Linked DNA regions of Caenorhabditis elegans. The protein of the gene in region 2 purifies or fractionates together with the protein of the main gene of each other region. This does not show direct contact. Each region holds a gene or a part of one and is shown on either strand. Other genes may lie near its edges.

Region 1 (4,780 bases), on a different chromosome or scaffold from region 2:
TTCAAAAATTGTTGGTGCTGCCACTCTTGTAGTCGAGCTCAAGTACATTCATGAATGTGGACTTCGTGGAAGAGTCGAAGATGTTGTCGTTGATTTGACAATGCGTGGAAAAAGGCTGGGAATTCTTATCAACGAAGCTCTCGTTAAAATGGCAAGAAGTCTTGGAGTTTATAAACTTTCTCTGGAATGCAAAACAGAGCTTATCCCATTCTACAACAAATTCGGGTACAACGAGAACATCCATTTCATGGTTCAACGCTTCGACAAGCCAGAAATTATCACTTTGGACTAATATTTTCTCATAAATTCATCATATTTATTGTACGATAGAATTTATTTAGCTCTTAATTTCATTGAATAAAGCTGTGATATTCCTACGTATTACCTTTTTTAATATTTTCATGCCCAATGTGTCAGAAACAATTTAATATCTTTGAAATATACAAAAGGTTACGGTTTCTATGAAAAAACTTGAAACGCGTCAGCAGATCGGGAAATGCGCCAAGAGTGAGTGTAAGGCGCACGCCGCTCATTCAATCATTTATTTATTTGTTATGCAGTTCATCAAAGTTTTCAATGTTTTTCTATTTTTGAGATCATGATTGCTGTCACATCCGTTTGGACAAAATTCCGACGAGGTCTGCCTATTTACTCTTGGCCCCTCCTCGCCGCCACAATGATTTTCGTTGATTGGAATCACACTCGAGAATGGAAAGCAGCTGGAAGAGTTTCTGCTCTGGAAAAGGAGATTCTAGCAAAGCAATAATAAGTAGATAATAGTTGTAGAATAAATCTTTATTCATTCTGAATTTCAATGTCCGGTTCTCTTTCTTCTTAACGCGAAAAAGCAGTTGATGTTTTCATCGTCTGCAACTGTGCGGTACGCTGGTTTTCCTCCAAAAAGTGTTGTTTATTCTGATGAGCCATTGGCTTGATCATACTGTTTTGTGTAGTCTCGATGATTTCGGCAAATGTCAGCAATTTGTTGTCGTAGGAAGTCTTCAAAAGATGGAATGCAGTTTTGATGAGATCCTTCGAAACTGCCGGATTTCTGTACGAGAAATAAGCGAGGTGGAACAAGCTGACAGTTGTTTCAATGTAAAACGAAATAGCCAAGACGAAGTAGGATACAGCGACTGAAGTGAACGCCGAAATCATTTTTTCATAACTTGGTCCATTTTCAACAGCGGTTGCAGTGCCTGAAAGGATCGGTATTCATCGAAGCTTCGGCATAATACAACTTACTCAATGCAGTACGAGTAGACGCTTTTCCACGAGATCTGAGAGTCGAATTGATAGCAGTGTTTAGCTCGGAATCGCTCATCGGTGGGATGACGGCAGTGTTGGTCTCTGACTGCGCAGTACGGCTGTCGACGGAAGTTGCCATTCTTGATTCGATAGGCGTTGCTTGAAAACCTTTCGAGTTGTTGAGACTGAGCGAAAGACGAGAAGTGATTCTGTTTGAATTTGTGAGCAACGAAACCCTTTATCTGATTGTAATCGAGAATAATCGGCTGTCACGCATAATACCTTTTTTAATTTATAAAATTAAATGCGGAAATATATTTTATGATTTTCACGTTACACATTAGGAAAACCTTTTATCAAGTTTTTATTTAAATTAATTTTGGCAATTTCTACCCGCGCGCGTACTTTGACCCATCATTTTCTTGTTTTTCTTTTCTATCTCGGTCTCTCTGTATCTATCTCTCACCCATCCTTCTTATCATTTTCTTTATTTTCTTGGTGTAGTGCCCGTTTTTTTCAATCGTTCCACGTAAATTTGTTGTTCTTTTAATGTTTTTTTTTTCTTTTAAACGTTTTTTTTTATTTATGATATTTTCAGCCGAAATGCTCTCTGCAAGAACTGTCCTTAGCCGTGCTGGCTTGATCAGCAATGTAAGTTTTTTGTGAGAATCAGCTGTGGGTATATGATTTTTCGATTTCCAAGGTTTTCGAATTGAATATTCAGTAAATGACTCATAAATTAATTCCATAAATTGAAGAATAGAATTATAAAAAATATTAAATTACAGGCCTCCCGTCTGAACAGCACTCTTGTTGTCGCCGAGCACGATGAGACAAAGCTTGCTCCAATCACTCTCAATGCTATCACTGCTGCTTCTAAAGTGAGTACAGACGGAATTAAAAAAATATATTTATAAATTGTATAATTTTCAAGCGAATCGCAATGCAAAATGTGATCTATGATCATTGTTCCCTCCAAGTATTAGTTGTAGTCATGTTTCGAATCTTGTTAGTTATTTACAAGAGTACAGACCCTATTTTGTAGCGCGCTTCCAACTATTTTAACTAATTTTATTTCAGCTCGGAAATGAAGTATCTGTCCTCGTCACTGGAGCCAACGCAACAAAGGTTGCTGAACAAGTTGCAAAAGTGAATGGAGTGAAAAGAGTTCTTGTGGCTCAAGATGAGAAGCTGAAGAATAATCTTCCAGGTAATATAAACCGAATTAATTTTTCTATTATGCTCGTATTTTCAGAACGAGTGGCTCCAGTTATTCTTGCTTCTCAAAAACAATTCAATTTCACCGCCATCACCGCTGGATCTTCAGCATTCGGACGTGGAGTTATTCCAAGAGTCGCCGCTAAGCTTGACGTATCTTCAATCTCTGACGTCACTGAAGTTCATTCGGCTGACAGTTTCACTCGCACTTTGTATGCTGGTAATGCAGTTAAAAAAGTGAAGAGCACCGCACCGATCAAGCTTCTCACCTTCCGTGGAACATCGTTCGAACCAGCAAAGGAAGGAGGAAGCGGCGCTGTTGAAAATGGTAACATAGAAAATCGTTTTATCCAGATGCGAAGATGCGAAGGATTTTGCTCCAAGAATAAGGTACCTGCTCTCGAAGCGGCAGTTTTACTCGAACTCGAATAAGTGTATGGCTTTTAAGGGGTACTGTAGTTTTTACTTGTTAGCGGATTTTCTGAGATTTTCCGAGTTTTTCTTCTGTTTCTTCAAAGTTTGAAATTTTAAAATGTTAAAAACGGACGAAAACTTCAAAAAAAAAGTCGAAGAAAAGCTTGCAACAACCAACTACAGTAGCCCTCAAAGACGCAAACACATTTTCATTTAAGAAAATCTGCCGCTTAGAGACCGGGTGCCGTATTAGAGATAAAATCGCAAAATATCGCATCTGGGTAATATATGAAAGAAAGTACGTAAAAATTTGCCTGAAAAACGAACCCCCAGAAACTGGCCGAGCCTACTTTTCTTGTTTATTTTTATTTTTTATGACTGAGTAGGACAATTCGAGACAGTTATCCCACAATTGATAGTCCACATTTAATCCTGATCTTTGTCAAAAGTCTTTATTCAGCCCCATCCGCTGATATCAAAACCGACCTCAGCGAATTCCTTGGCCAAGAATTGAGCAAGTCTGAACGTCCTGATCTTGCAACTGCCAAAGTCGTCGTTTCTGGAGGACGTGGATTGAAGAGTGGAGACAATTTCAAGCTCATCTATGATCTTGCTGATAAGCTCGGAGCCGGAGTCGGAGCATCCCGTGCCGCTGTTGATGCTGGATACGTACCAAATGACATGCAAGTCGGTCAGACTGGAAAGATTGTAGCGCCGGTAAGAAATCCATTAAGTGAGAAGCAAAGAAAAATGAATTAATTTATAGGAACTCTACATTGCAATCGGAATTTCTGGAGCCATTCAACATTTGGCTGGAATGAAGGACTCAAAGGTGATTGTCGCCATCAACAAGGATCCTGATGCACCAATTTTCCAGGTAAAAATTGAATTTAACACAAAATTGTTAATTCTAAATAATTCAGGTCGCTGATATTGGATTGAAAGCCGATTTGTTCAAGGCCGTCCCAGAACTGACTGCTGCTCTTCCATGAATACCTTCAAATAGCCTAATGTAGATGTGTCTTCTAAATTATTGTATTCTATTTAGTAACTCGGTTTATCGGGATATTGTGATTTTCGTTTTTATGCTTTCAATGTGAATAAACAGCCAAATCTGTTTTATGAGCGTTATCACGCGATTCATAAAGAACAATTGAGAAGAGCAACACTGGAGAAAACCGAAATGAGAATTTTGTATCAAATATCATATTCACAAGAAGCACGGAAACAACGAGAAAATGCGAGACAAGTGAGGTGACGAATTGATAGATAAATACTGGAAAATTTGAAACATTCCTGGTGATGGTTTTGTGATTGGGAAATTACTCTTCTATTAATCAAAACGAGATACCCGCTGCGGGATGCAAAAAAAAGCGAATGGGGAGGATTGGGGGGAACAAGAAACTGAAAGATTTCTCAAATTTTTGAAGAATAAAAATGATGAAACTGATGGGCTGGAATAACAAAGAGATCGACAAAAAAGTCCGACGCAGCAGAGAACATTATGAGAATTTCATTTTAAAATGGACGGCGATTGAAAAAAAAAGAAACAACGAATATTTAAAACGGAAAGTTGGACCTGTATTAGAATGCGAAAAGGCCAAACATAAAAACAATATTTTTCAAAAAAGAAAAAATGGATCCAGAGGTCAGCCGCCACCGAAAAAGGAGGATTTTGAGAGGATGAGAGATTACACTATATATCGATAGATATCACAATCGATAATACTAAAATATGTCGGTACAGGATCAAGCAACCGCCACTGTCGAATTTTCTTCTTGTTTGATTGTTGCAGTAGCAGTAGTTGCGGCCACAGCAGCAGCTACATCATGTTCCATTGTCTGTGGTTCTTCTTCTTTAATCGTTGGTTCTGTGGTGGGTCGAGGTGAATTCGTGGCT
Region 2 (5,491 bases):
CTAGCTACCTCTGCCTACCTCATGCCGAGGCACCAGTCAAGGCTTGTCGGAATGTAGGCAAGCATTGTAGGTAACTCTAAGAAATTGAAATATAAAAAAAAAGAAAAGAAAAGCTAGTTACTTTTCATGCGAATTTTTTCAGGATTTTCAGAAAAAAAAATTTTGACAAAAAAAATGTTTTTTTTAATTTTTGAAATCAATTTTCCAAGATCTCACAACAAATTCGTTTTCCAGCATGACAACAATGTGTACGGTGTCCTGGTTGCTCTTGGTATTCCACAAATCGCTAACACACTTGACGGATGGCCAGCATACGCAGCTGGAATATTTATGGAATTCCACAGAAACACGTCAACAAACGAGAGATTCTTCAAGGTATTCCAGAGAGAAACCAGAAAATTCGAACAATTAAATTTTCAGGTTCTGTACCGTGAAGGAGATGACACTCCGATTTCTGATGTGACAAGTCAACTTCCAATTTGTAATGGAGCCACCTTGTGTCCACTTGGAGCTCTTCAGACTTTGGCCGAGACACTGAAGCCACTTCCAGATATTACTACTGTAAGCTCTTGTTTCCAAAAATTTCGACTTTATAAAAAATTTTCAGCTCTGCAAAACTCCTCTATGAATTACTGGAACTGTAATTTTTGTTGTAACTCAATTTTTATATTTTTTTATGAACTATTTCATTAAAACTCTTTTTGTTCACACAATCCTAAACCGGTATTATAGGCAAAAGACAAAAAAGTAACAAACAACGGACTAAAGAAGTATTTACACATTTCACGGAAATTTGTCAAAATTGACAAATTATCCTTGATTAAGAGGAGCCTGTCCCATTGGCTTCAGATTTTCGGAAATTTCGAATTTGCAAGCGGTGAGTTTCTTGATATCATCTACAGTAAGATCCTTCCTGACTTCGATCAATGTCAATCCGTTCTTTGTGTCCACGTCGAAAACTGCCATATCAGTAATGATTCGGGAAATTACTCCTTTGCCGGTCAGAGGAAGTTCGCAGTGCTCTAGAATTTTTGGCTCTCCGTTCTTCGATACATGCTCCATTACAACGATCACACGGGCTCCGGGAGCAGAGACAAGATCCATTGCACCGCCCATTCCTTTCACCAATTTTCCCTGGAAAATTTTAGAAATTTATTAAGATGGAAGATTAAGCGGAAAAGTATATTTTTATGAAGTTGTCTAAATTTTTTGTTTTTGGGGGTTTTTCGTTTTTTTTTTAAAGTTTTTTCGGACCAACAAAATAAATTCAGATATATATTTAAGAAATAAAATCAAGATTTTTTGGAGTTTTGTAGAATTAATATTTTTAATCAAAAAATTATTTTTATTGAGACTAGATCTGGCCAAAATTGTTCGGTTAATAATTTTCGATCAGTCTATGTGCTGCGTGCATTTTATTTAATTTGAGTTGCTTATCTTTTTTAGTTGAAACTTCGAGCGTTTTTAGACATCACTGATAAATAATTTCAGATCACTGATCATATTTATCTTATCACTCGGTCGATTAAAACACAAAGAACGAATTATCAGTGATCTATTTTTTCTCAAAGCTCACCGGAATCATCCAATTCGCTAAATCTCCAAACTGTGAGCACTGAAGTGCACCGAGCACAGTAATATCCATATGAGAACCACGAATCATTGCGAATGATTCATCAGAACCAACAATTGAAGCTCCTTTGAGAAGAGTAATTGGCTCTTTTCCAGCATTAATGAGATCGGCGTCTTCTGTTCCTTTTCTTGGATATGGTCCCTGAAAAACAAAAATGAAAATAAAAATAATTAATTTAAATTTCCTTACCACTCCAATAATACCATTCTCACTTTGCAAATGAACAGTAAATCCATTTGGTATATAATTTGGCGCCAAAGTCGGAATCCCGATACCCAAATTGGCGTACATTCCATCTGTGAACTCCAAAGCTGCACGTGCTGCAATGATTTCTCTCGATTTTCCAGCAGCCGATGTAGATGGTTTTATTGGTCCTTCGTGTGCGAACATTGGCCGTTCGATTGGTTTTTTGTAGTTCTTTCCCAAAACTAGACGATGACAATAGATTGATGGAATGTGCACATCGTTTGGAGCAATTACTCCCGGTTCGACGATTTCCTCTACTTCGACGATGGTGCATTTAGAGGCTTTGCACATTGGATTATTGAAATTTCCAGCAGCATGTCTGAAATTTTGATTTTTGTTGTTGTTGTAATTTTTCAAAAATGATTTTTTAATTTTTTTAATTCTTACCTGAATTGAATATTTCCAAGAGTATCTGCTCTCCACGCCTTGATCAATGCAAAATCTCCCCAAATAGCCTCTTCCATTACATAATTAATTCCATTGAATTGTCGTGTTTCTTTCGCTTTACTTGCAACTTCAATCTTTCCTTTTTCAGTTTTACTGTACTTAATCGGAGCACCTCCTTCTTGAATCTGGGTACCGTATCCTGTTGGTGTGTAGAATGCGGGAACACCGGCACCAGCTGCACGAATTCGTTCGGCGAGTGTTCCTTGTGGTGTGAATTCCAACTCGAGCTCTCCGCTAAGATATTGTCGAGCAAATTCTCCGTTTTCACCGACGTACGATGAGATCATTTTCTTGATTTGTCGAGTTTGAAGGAGCAAGCCAAGTCCCCAATTATCAACTCCCGCATTGTTTGATACACATGTAAGACCTTTTTGACCAGTTTTTGTGATAGCTTGGATGAGATTTTCTGGGATTCCGCATAGTCCGAAGCCTGAAATTGGTTACTTTATTTCTATTGATATTAAAGTATTTTCAAAATTGCCGAGACACATTTTTTTGTGATTTTCGCGCCAAAAATACGGTAACTGTTCTCAACACAAACATTTTCGTTGAATGCAAAAAGGTAAAGAGTACTGTAATTTCGACTTACCGTATTTTTGGCGCAAAAATCGCAAAATTTTGGTAACATAAAAAAATTCCAAATCTTACCGCCAACTAAAAGCTTTGCATTATCTGGAATATCCTTCACGGCTTCTTCGGCAGAGTTAAAGACTTTTGCTTTCATCGAGGATGTCATTGAGATTAGCCTCATTTGATGAGCATTTCTCGGAGTTTTTCTCAAGATTCCAGCTGCTGGAGCCGCCCATATTTTTGAGAGAATCGGCATTTTATCTGAATGAAAATTTTTTTAATTTTGGAAAAAGAAACAATATATTTAGGATTATAAGATGGAAAAACCAGAAAGTCAAATTTGTGGAACAAGGAATCGGTATTAAGTAGAAAAGATTATAATTGTGTGTTGATACTCGATAACAATTTCCGTGTTGCGTATTTGATTTCTTATCAATATTATTTACAATAAAGTAGCGGAAACGTACAAATAAAACGTTTTAGTGATGGGAACGTCTCATTTACTGAAAATAATAAAACCCGGTATCGACACGACAATTTTTTATTTATTACGGTACCAAGTACGCATTCTCATGATTTATTGTTCCCGTAATAACGCGAAGAGGAGTGCGCTTTTAAAATGTACGGTAATTTCAAACTATCGTTTCTGTATGATTTTCATAGATTTTTTCACAGTTTTTCAATTATCTCAAGTATTTCAAAATATTATCAAGAAAACTAAAACAAAACAATAAAAACAGTTAAAGTTTAATGCGAGAAAAAATATAAAAATTTTGCTGCAACGAAATTTTAAAACTACAGTACTCTTTAAAGGTACACATATTTTTTCAATTAACAAACTTTGCAGTGTCGAGACCGGGTTCTGTATTTTTAGTACAAAAGTTGCAAAAATAACGCGTCTGGGTAAAATTTTCAATGTTAATTCCGATGGGGCTCTAGAAAAATCATGATAAATTCACTGAACTAATAAAAATTTAGAAAACTGTTATAAAATCTTAATTTTTAGAGGTAGAATTGTCTAAAGCAAAAAAAAAACTAAAAACCATCAGTAGCCAATAGTCTGAGCGAGTGTGTCACAACTTGAGTACACAAAAACGTTTCTTTTTCGCATTTTTTGTCTACTTTTTATAGAGACGCAGACAGAAAATCAGGGAAAATGAGAAGTGAAGTTAACTGAAGGTCTGGGAAACACGTGGTTGTGAGACTGGCGAAAAGTTTTGAGAAGAAAAATTCGGGTGATATTTGGGAGGAGTTCTGCCTTGAGAAGTTTGATGTTTGAAGTGTGATCTGTGATAAGGATGGGAGGGCAACAGAGACAGGTGGCCAGGACACAAGTGTGCTACTGACGTTAGCTTCTTTTTAAATAAAATTTTCAAATGTAGTTTACTGTCATTTTAGCGAATTGTACAATTAAAAAAATATATATAAATCCGTACATAGTTACGAATAAGAGCAATTTTAATAAAACATATGTTTTTTTTAAATTTTTATTCAAGATTTAAAAGATAACTTAACAAAATCTGCGGTACATAAACCAACAAATAGGAATGACGGCTAATGCACCGGAAACGTATAAAAGTTTCGAAAATTTGGATATAATTGGGGTCTCATCTTGCGCTTCTTGTGTAATCTGGTCCTGAAGATCCTCCACGTCGATCAGCATGATTTTAACAGTTGACCGGAACGCTCGGATCATTTGAAGAAGATTCTTCACATTTTGAGAATCATCAAAGCCCAAATCACGACGTTGTTGAGGAGAATATTCATCAAGGAGCTGTCTTAAAATTGACAATTGATGAAAAGTTTGATTTCCAAGACCGACCCGCAATGAATAAGTTGTCGCTTCATTTTGTGTACTCCCATTTCGGATTTTGTGAGGACGTCGTGGAGACGAATGACGCATACTGACTTTTCTCTGGAAAAAGGCAAATTTAATTCTTTATAAAATGTATACTTTTAAAAAACGCACAGGTTGTTTTCAGGGCAAGCTAGGCTGTTGAAAACTGTACTGGCATCCCAATCCAGAACTTCCGACTCTCCAGCTTCTCCAAACGCTGTTTCTTTTGAAAGTACAACTGGACTTTCTCCCAGAAATGAGCCAACAAACTCGGATTCGAACTTCCTTGGAACCTCTTCCTTTTTGATGATTTTTGGAGTTTCTTCTTCGACTATCAAGAATTCTTTTACATGGATCTGAGGTGATCTGTAAAAGTTAATATTAGAATTATTATTAGTTATTAAAATAAAACAAACCTTAGCTCAAATCCTTGAAATTCTGAATCAGAATCGTCAAAATCTGACATTTTTCAGAAAAGAGTGTTGTAAAACAAAAGAAATTTAAAAAAACTGCGAAACTGTGTATTTTTGCGTCATCGTGTTTGAACTATTTGTGCGCGCGCGTTTAAAAAAAAACAAAAACAATTATTTTCGACCTACTTATTTTATTGATCTGCCTCTATTTTACCGATGAAAGTGTATCAGTCGAAAATTAAAATTATGCGCGGGAAAATTCTGATTTTTTCATTTAAATTTTCGCTTGTCATTCATTCCACAGACCCATTTTTTCTCCCTCTCACCTATTTCACACACTAATTA
Region 3 (5,003 bases), on a different chromosome or scaffold from region 2:
AAATAATAATCAAGTTCAAAAAAGTTTTATCATATAATCACATCGATATCGAGCAAAGGGTCTGTGGAGCCAAGTCTCTGGAGGTTTTCTCTAATGCTACGTTGTCTATACTCTCTCACAATCAAACACTCTCTAATATCTCACGGACCCGATGACAAAGAGGAGGACTCGTCGACACATGTGACAAACGGTGGCGGTATATCCAGTGGAGTGAAATGTAGGTGATAGACCAAGAGTGAGAGAGATGAAAAAGAAAGAAGGTGAAGAAGGTACGAGTTGGATGATATCAAGACACAGAACGACAAGTTTATCTCTATTAGCAAGGGTCTCCGGATGAGCAAAGAGTTAGTGATAAACGGAAGAGTGAGTGCCTCTCGTCGCAATCAAAACCAATGTTTTATCACCACCGGGCCAAGAAATGAAGAAGTGAAATGAGAGAATAAGCCGGGTAAGAAGGTTGGTATCCGGGTTGAGTCAAATGCAAGTCAAATGAGTGGATTAAGTTACAAGTCTTATCACAGTTTGCTGTCTGGGATTTGAGACGTGACACTGCTCATGATTTGTGAGTTTTGGCATTTTCACAAATCAAACTAAAGAGTTGTAGTGTAGTTATTTATTGCATGTGAAAATTACACTCGTTTTATGAACTTCCTTGTTGAAAACGTTCATTTTATGGTTACTGAAGATCAGTCTCTACAGAAGAGCATCTCAATTGAGTTTATACATTTTCAGAGTTTTGACTGGTTCTGTGGTTTTTTGTGAAACAATCAGGTGCATTGTTATATTTCTAATATTTCTCAGTTTTTATTAAAGGAAGAGCCAATGGTTTTTTTTTTCAGAAATCGGATTTTTGGGAACAGCGAATACATATAAATCAGTTTTTAGTTCATTCCATAAAAAACACAAAAAAAATTTTTTTTAATCAAACAAATAGTTTATTTATTTACTGCTGAATTCCTACACTCGTCTATAGCAGAAGATGTCCCCAAGTGTGATCGCTGCTGCTGCAAGTTTATTTGGGTAATTGCATTAATGTTTAAATTAAAACTAACTTTTTCAAATCCTTCAGAGTGACTTCGATTCCTTTTTTGAAAATTTCAGCGAACTGGGAGGCAACACTGGATGGACCACCAGCAGCTACAGCTACGACTTTGTCTTTTCTTAAAGTTTTTACTAACATGAAAAATGTATAATTGTTCACTTACTTCAAGAAGTATCGAATGAAAGTTCCAGTTTCAGGATCTCCATTAGTGTATTCCTTTGTGGATCCTTGATTGCATCCTGAGAACTTCAAACCAAACGCAAAGAAAAACAGAGTCCAAAAGTATGGAACAATAGGTCCAGGTTGAGGTTTTCCAACAATAGTGTATCCAAGATGTTGTCCTAAAATATTAAACATCGATAGTTAAATTTGAATATCTTCTGGTTTACCATGTGCTTGAGCAGTTTGGAAGTGTTGAATATTGATACTGTCAATATCCCAAAGTGGGAGAGGAGCTGTGACAACATCACCCATTGCGAAGATGTAGCTGATATTAGTCTGAAGTATTAGAGATTAAAAAAGCATCATAAAATAAACTAAACCCACTCTAAACTTTTCATCAACTTCAATGAATCCTCTATTGTCCAATTTGATACCAGATCCTTCCAAAAACTTAGTGGCTGGGGTAACACCAATTCCACAAACAAGAAGATCTACATCAAGCTCTTTTCCATTCTCTAAAATAACTTTTGAGACTTCTCCTTGATCGTTTCCACGAAGAGCAACCACATTTGCAGCCAGCTCGAACTTTACTCCTTTTTCTTCAAACTTCAGACGGATTCCTTTACCAATATCTGATCCAAAAACTGGAAGAGGCTCCGGAGTATTGGAAATAACTGTAACTGACGCAGCTTTTTCTGCCAGAGCGGATGCCACTTCCATTCCGATAAATGATGAGCCTACACAGACGACGTGCTTCCCAGGATGAAGGTTGGAAATTATGTTGGCTTCTTCTACTTTACGAAGGTAGCAAATATTCTGGAAATTGCACATGTTTATATTTTTCAGATTTTCGTTTTACTCTCACTTTCAAATCTGATCCGGGTACTTGCAACTTTCTAACATTTCCTCCAGTAGCAATAATTAGTTTTGAATAAACAACAGTTTCTCCGTTCGATAAACTGACTTCTCTACTTTTATGATTTACTGCAATCACCGATGTTTTCAAAAGAAATTTGACATTTCTCTCTTCGTAAAACGCATCATCTTTTCTCAAACGAATATCCTCTCCGGTTGCTGCTGGTTTCTGAAAATCATAGGTAATTTAGAAAAAAAGATTTAACATTACCTTAGACAGCAAGACTCTATCATAAGGCGGCAAAGACTCTTCTGAGATTACTAAAATTGGGGTTATAAGACCATTAAGTCGAGAATGCTCAATGAATGTAGCTGTAGCTACACCACCACCGATAATCACAACTGGTCGATCATTACACTGCTTCATTTTTGGAAGATGTCGAATTCGACGATCAGAACCTAGCTTCTTTTCAGTTGTCTTGATAATAAGGTTTCCATCGTTGACAGTAACCTGGAAAAATATAATTGTTTGATTACAAAAAAAGGACAACAAAGTTTAATCAGTCACCTCCAACTTTTCAAAAAAGAATTTGTCCAAAAATGCGAAAACAATAAATTTTTGGGTGCCACTTACCACATAAGAATGAAGACTGTCAAAGCCTGGATAGTCTTCAATATCTCCCGATCGAACATTAAAGCAAGCTCCATGAAGTGGGCACCTAATTCTTCCTTTTGCATATGTTCCATTCTCCAATGAGAAATTGTAATGAGAACACAATCCATTAATAGCGTAAATTCGACCCTCGTCGTTAATCACCAAAACTTTACGATCACGAACTTCGAACATTTTCTTACTGGAAAAAGACAATGTTATTTTTTAAATTTTCTTTTTAAAACTTTAGAGAACTGTTTTTAAAAAGTTGAAATTACTTACGTTCCTGGCGGTACATCTTCGATTCTACCGAGAATTTCCTCCACTGCCGGAGAATCATCATTGTCACATTCCGGCTCAACAGGGGTTAGCCAATTGGCGAGAGCCATTGTTATTATACTGGAATATTAAAGAAATGTACGTGTAAATTCGTTTTTTTTTCAGAAAATCAAGGAAAAGAATGATAAATAAACGTAGTCATCAGTCATCAATTTTTGTTATCAATAAGAGTCTATAGATGAAAGTTTAATTGAAAAAACGTACAGTTTTCAAACTTTGTCCTAGAGGTTTCGGGCAAATTCTTCGTACAAAAAATAACAAAAATATAAAAATGGGGCTACAGAGACCAATTGGAGCACTTTGAGTTGTAGGAACAAGAAAAAGGAAAAGAGAAGCACACGAAAGGCTGGGTCTATTTGCTAGGCGGCAAATGGAAATGCTGACAAATGCCTGACACTGGCATGTATCTAGGATAGTTGACCACAGAGAAAAAGAAACTTTGTGATCGTTACAATTTTTAGTTCACACCTTGTATACTTATTAAACTAGGGTAAAAGAAAGTCAAGGTGAAAGCCAAAAAATGCTTTTAAGTCTTGAAATACCAGAGCTTCAAAGAGAAAAATCAACGAAGATGTGGGAAAACAACAACATATTTCAAAACATCCACGTTATCAGTTTTTGGTAAACAATATTTGTTTGCGTGGAAGGTTTTTGTAAACGAAGCGTTATTTTCTGAATTATTTTTTTTTTCTGATTAATCGTAATGGTTAGAAATGTTTTCGAATTTTTTATTTGAAACTATGTTTCTGTACTTACGGAAAATTTTCCAAAACGTTTAATTTTCAGTATGTCCAATTTATACATCAAAGACTCTAAACTTTAGATTTAAATCTTATTGAAATTAGTAAATTTTGAATGAAAATCTCGACAATAAACCACTAGAAGATCATCAAGGTTAAACGAAGTAAACAAGAAAAACTGGAGAAGAAAAAACGTCGAAACGATCAGTTGAAGGAAACATGATCCTTCATATTGGAACGAAACGCTCAAAAATCAAAATTTGTCGTTTGAAAGTTTAACCTTTAAGTTTGAAAATGATACGTCTTAATTGTTTTTTTTAAAAATCGGTATCACTAGCTTTAAAAAAAAGTGCAAAAACGTTAAAATGGAAAATCCCTTTTCTTGAAAACCGAGAGATGAAGAGAACCGAGACATACAAACAAAACTCTCCGTAGAACGGCCTATGGTGACACTCACAAACAACAACATAATTGGGAGAATTGAGAGAAATAGTGGGAAAATGCGGAAATTTAGGAAAAAGAGGTTCAATGAACATATTTATAGAGACAATTGTTTTTGGACGGGAAAATGTGAACTTATGGGCTATGAAAATTTTTATAAAAGTACGATTACTTCCTTGCCGGAATTTCAATTTCAAATAATCAAAGCTGATAATTTAGTTCAAAATAATATTCCACAATAATCATATAATGTTTAATTTTCAGTAGTTTCATTCGGGATAGTTGTAAAGAACAATTTTGTGAACGATAATTGCAAAAAAATCGTCTTTTATCCAAAAATCTCATGGCAAACAAAATTATATTTCAAGCTTGTTTTCAAGCTTTAGAATCACATTTTTCAAGCTTTAGAATCAAAGAATCAGAAATCATAAGAATTTCATTTTAAGCTTTGATTACCACATAAATCATTTGGTATGGATGAATGATGCTTTTCGTTTTTTGGTTTTGTGACCATATTTTATGAGTCCACCGGAATTTTATAAAAGCTCGGGTCTCTGAAAAAACTGCTATAAGCCAAGCTGAACATTCGCTTGAAACAAGCGTGAAATGAAGTATACTGTCAGTTTGTTCAATTATTAGCACGGCAGTTGGCTATTGTCATTGAAAGTGAATGTTTGAGTGAGTCTCTACGGATTGAAACTTTTTTTTTTGAAGTTTGATGAATGGTTTGTGAAACAATATTTTTGTGTCTCGTTTTTTATTTTATAAAGTC
Region 4 (3,279 bases), on a different chromosome or scaffold from region 2:
ATTCTGTCAGGACTCATTAGGTAGAGTGGAGATTCACAGAAGAAACTAAAACCTAATGAGACCCCAGAATACTGCCGGTATTCTGTCAGGACTCATTAGGTAGAGAGGAGACTCACAGAAGAAACTAAAACCTAATGAGACCCCAGAATACTGCCGATATTCTGTCAGGACTCATCAGGTAGAGAGGAGATTCACAGAAGAAACTAAAACCTACTGAGACCCCAGAATACTGCCGGTATTCTGTCAGGACTCATTAGGTAGAGTGGAGAGTTGGAAATGAAACTAAAACCTAATGAGACCCCAGAATACTGCCGGTATTCTGTCAGGACTCATTAGGTAGAGAGGAGATTCACAGAAGAAACTAAAACCTACTGAGACCCCAGAATACTGCCGGTATTCTGTCAGGACTCATTAGTTAGAGTGGAGATTCACAGAAGAAACTAAAACCTAATGAGACCCCAGAATACTGCCGGTATTCTGTCAGGACTCATTAGGTAGAGAGGAGATTCACAGAAGAAACTAAAACCTAATGAGACCCCAGAATACTGCCGGTATTCTGTCAGGACTCATTAGGTAAAGAGGAGACTCACAGAAGAAACTAAAACCTAATGAGACCCCAGAATACTGCCGGTATTCTGCCAGGACTCATTAGGTAGAGAGGAGACTCACAGAAGAAACTAAAACCTAATGAGACCCCAGAATACTGCCGGTATTCTGTCAGGACTCATTAGGTAGAGAGGAGATTCACAGAAGAAACTAAAACCTAATGAGACCCCAGAATACTGCCGGTATTCTGTCAGGACTCATTAGTTAGAGTGGAGATTCACAGATGAAACTAAAACCTAATGAGACCCCAGAATACTGCCGGTATTCTGTCAGGACTCATTAGGTAGAGATGAGACTCACAGAAGAAACTAAAACCTAATGAGACCCCAGAATACTGCCGGTATTCTGTCAGGACTCATTAGGTAGAGAGGAGATTCGCAGAAGAAACTAAAACCTACTGAGACCCCAGAATACTGCCGGTATTCTGTCAGGACTCATTAGGTTTAGTGGAGAGTTGGAAATGAAACTAAAACCTAATGAGACCCCAGAATACTGCCGGTATTCTGTCAGGACTCATTAGGTAGAGTGGAGATTCACAGAAGAAACTAAAACCTAATGAGACCCCAGAATACTGCCGGTATTCTGTCAGGACTCATTAGGTAGAGAGGAGATTCACAGAAGAAACTAAAACCTACTGAGACCCCAGAATACTGCCGGTATTCTGTCAGGACTCATTAGTTAGAGTGGAGATTCACAGAAGAAACTAAAACCTAATGAGACCCCAGAATACTGCCGGTATTCTGTCAGGACTCATTAGGTAGAGAGGAGATTCACAGAAGAAACTAAAATCGTATAGAACCCGCGATGATCACATCTATCCCATGTGCACTAAATTTCCTCGTTTTTACTGGATTTTTGAATGTTTCAGTTGAAAACCAATCTGTTCCGTTTTTGGGAACGGAGTGGATTGATGCCGAGGCTTTGAGGCAGCCTTTGCGAGAGATTTGGCACTCATTTTGTCTGAAATTAATTATTTATAATAGAAAAACTGAATTATTTTGTAAAATTTGTAAAGAAAACGGTAAAAATCTGTTTAAAACTCGGGAAAACTCAAAAACTATGAACTATGAGTTAAAAATCCGACAAAAGTTGCGCCAACAACTTTTGCTGACCCATTACTCGTTTTCTCTGCGTCACAACGCCACGTTTGCTTGACTTTTGTTTGCACACCTTCGATTGCTCTTTTGCACTGATTTCTCTGTCCATTTTTCTATTCATAACGTATTTTTTCAATAATTTTTCGTTGTATTGTGCTTCTAAAAATCAATTGTATTGTTGTAGGATCATGAAAACCGCTGTTATCGTTGGACTTTTGTGCCTATTGGCGATCGCATATGCTGCCGATGAGCAGAAAATCGATAAATTGCAAATTGGAGTCAAGAAGCGTGCCGAGAACTGCGTTCAGAAATCCAGGTAAGCTTACTCTTTTTAATTAAAATAAAAATGTTAAATTTACAGAAAGGGTGATCAATTGCACATGCACTACACCGGAACCCTTCTCGATGGAACTGAATTTGATTCCAGCCGCACTCGCAATGAAGAATTCACTTTCACTCTTGGACAAGGAAATGTTAGTTTTTAAAGAAAAAACCAATATCAATAATTAAAATTGAAATTATAGGTGATCAAGGGATGGGATCAAGGACTTCTTAACATGTGCGTCGGAGAGCGTCGTATTCTCACAATTCCACCACACCTTGGATACGGAGAACGTGGAGCCCCACCAAAGATTCCAGGCAACTCTGTCCTCAAGTTCGACGTTGAGCTCATGAAGATTGACAGAGACGGAGAAGAATTGTAAACGAACTACGGATATTTAGAAAACGTGCCTTTTGTAACTTATTCATGTTCTCAGAGTATAATTTTTTTTTGCAGTTTTTTTTTTTGTCTTTATAAACATGCCCATTCTATATATTTGGACCGTCTGCGGCCATTGATCACAACCGCGTCTCGCTTCTCTTTATCACCTTGTATTGCACTCTGTCAGCGAAAATGATAGGGTGTGCGAGACATTTATCAATTTCCATACACCTTTTTCTCTTCTTACCTAGTAATGCCTTGCTTTCTTAGTTTTTAAGAATGATTATTTTAATCTGAAAATCTGGAATCAACAGTTTCGTAAATATTAGAATTCAAGTATGTGGTTCCTCTGTAAATAAAAAGCACGAATCGAAAAAGGAAATGCATTTTTGAAAATGTCGAACAATAAACAAAAAATTGGAATTCTATTAGTAGAAACCCAATTAAAACTGGCATCCATGAATTATTGCACCAACGATCCGAATGCTTCTTTTCTCTTTTTTTTTGTTCATGCTCCATCCTAACAATAGTTATAAATTGAGGTCGATTCTTGCTCTTCGTTGTCTTCTCTCAACACACGAGTAAATTGAGTATTCCTTGAGAGCCTCCTGTGAGAGTATTTGTGAGCCTTGTATTTCCTTTCTCTCACTGCTTTCTTCTTCAGTTTTGATGTATAAAAGTATGAATAATAAAACTGACATTTCGCACTGAAAATTCAACGTGGTTTCGGGAGTAATATTTGCATAATCCGTCTTCTTGAAACCAACGGAGCGTGATGGAAATTTGATAGGACTCGATATTTTCTCTAGAATTTTGAACTTGGTTTTTTGAATTCTCTATTTTTTTGAGATCTATGATAATCTAACGCTTTTT

What was found.
Region 1: the proteins of C05C10.3 (region 2) and etfa-1 fractionate together in Caenorhabditis elegans (co-fractionation; one large-scale study listed by BioGRID). This does not show direct contact.
Region 3: the proteins of C05C10.3 (region 2) and F20D6.11 fractionate together in Caenorhabditis elegans (co-fractionation; one large-scale study listed by BioGRID). This does not show direct contact.
Region 4: the proteins of C05C10.3 (region 2) and fkb-1 fractionate together in Caenorhabditis elegans (co-fractionation; one large-scale study listed by BioGRID). This does not show direct contact.

What each region holds. Positions count from the first base shown.
Region 1 is NC_003279.8:7,700,583-7,705,362, forward strand, and holds etfa-1 (putative electron transfer flavoprotein subunit alpha, mitochondrial), read left to right. Parts: upstream 1-1,846; 5' UTR 1,847-1,851; coding exon 1,852-1,899; intron 1,900-2,036; coding exon 2,037-2,129; intron 2,130-2,328; coding exon 2,329-2,458; intron 2,459-2,503; coding exon 2,504-2,794; intron 2,795-3,340; coding exon 3,341-3,597; intron 3,598-3,646; coding exon 3,647-3,757; intron 3,758-3,803; coding exon 3,804-3,872; 3' UTR 3,873-4,007; downstream 4,008-4,780. Other genes in the region: gna-2 (glucosamine-phosphate N-acetyltransferase), read left to right, coding at 1-292; T23G11.11 (uncharacterized protein), read left to right, coding at 599-766; T23G11.1 (uncharacterized protein), read right to left, coding at 835-1,199, 1,246-1,387; lsy-22 (STI1 domain-containing protein), read right to left, coding at 4,630-4,780.
Region 2 is NC_003280.10:9,933,737-9,939,227, forward strand, and holds C05C10.3 (putative succinyl-CoA:3-ketoacid coenzyme A transferase, mitochondrial), read right to left. Parts: upstream 3,158-5,491; 5' UTR 3,153-3,157; coding exon 2,975-3,152; intron 2,757-2,974; coding exon 2,267-2,756; intron 2,199-2,266; coding exon 1,823-2,198; intron 1,775-1,822; coding exon 1,577-1,774; intron 1,135-1,576; coding exon 811-1,134; 3' UTR 678-810; downstream 1-677. Other genes in the region: pho-11 (Putative acid phosphatase 11), read left to right, coding at 235-375, 421-561, 608-628; C05C10.7 (uncharacterized protein), read right to left, coding at 4,407-4,674, 4,719-4,811, 4,866-5,099, 5,150-5,199; C05C10.5 (uncharacterized protein), read left to right, coding at 5,491-5,491. UniProt on the Caenorhabditis elegans protein: Key enzyme for ketone body catabolism. Transfers the CoA moiety from succinate to acetoacetate. Formation of the enzyme-CoA intermediate proceeds via an unstable anhydride species formed between the carboxylate groups of the enzyme and substrate.
Region 3 is NC_003283.11:8,195,985-8,200,987, forward strand, and holds F20D6.11 (Rieske domain-containing protein), read right to left. Parts: upstream 3,111-5,003; 5' UTR 3,101-3,110; coding exon 2,994-3,100; intron 2,914-2,993; coding exon 2,694-2,913; intron 2,571-2,693; coding exon 2,331-2,570; intron 2,289-2,330; coding exon 2,070-2,288; intron 2,021-2,069; coding exon 1,589-2,020; intron 1,541-1,588; coding exon 1,432-1,540; intron 1,384-1,431; coding exon 1,206-1,383; intron 1,161-1,205; coding exon 1,053-1,160; intron 1,005-1,052; coding exon 968-1,004; 3' UTR 790-967; downstream 1-789.
Region 4 is NC_003282.8:11,034,695-11,037,973, forward strand, and holds fkb-1 (peptidylprolyl isomerase), read left to right. Parts: upstream 1-1,887; 5' UTR 1,888-1,891; coding exon 1,892-2,019; intron 2,020-2,064; coding exon 2,065-2,176; intron 2,177-2,227; coding exon 2,228-2,407; 3' UTR 2,408-2,480; downstream 2,481-3,279.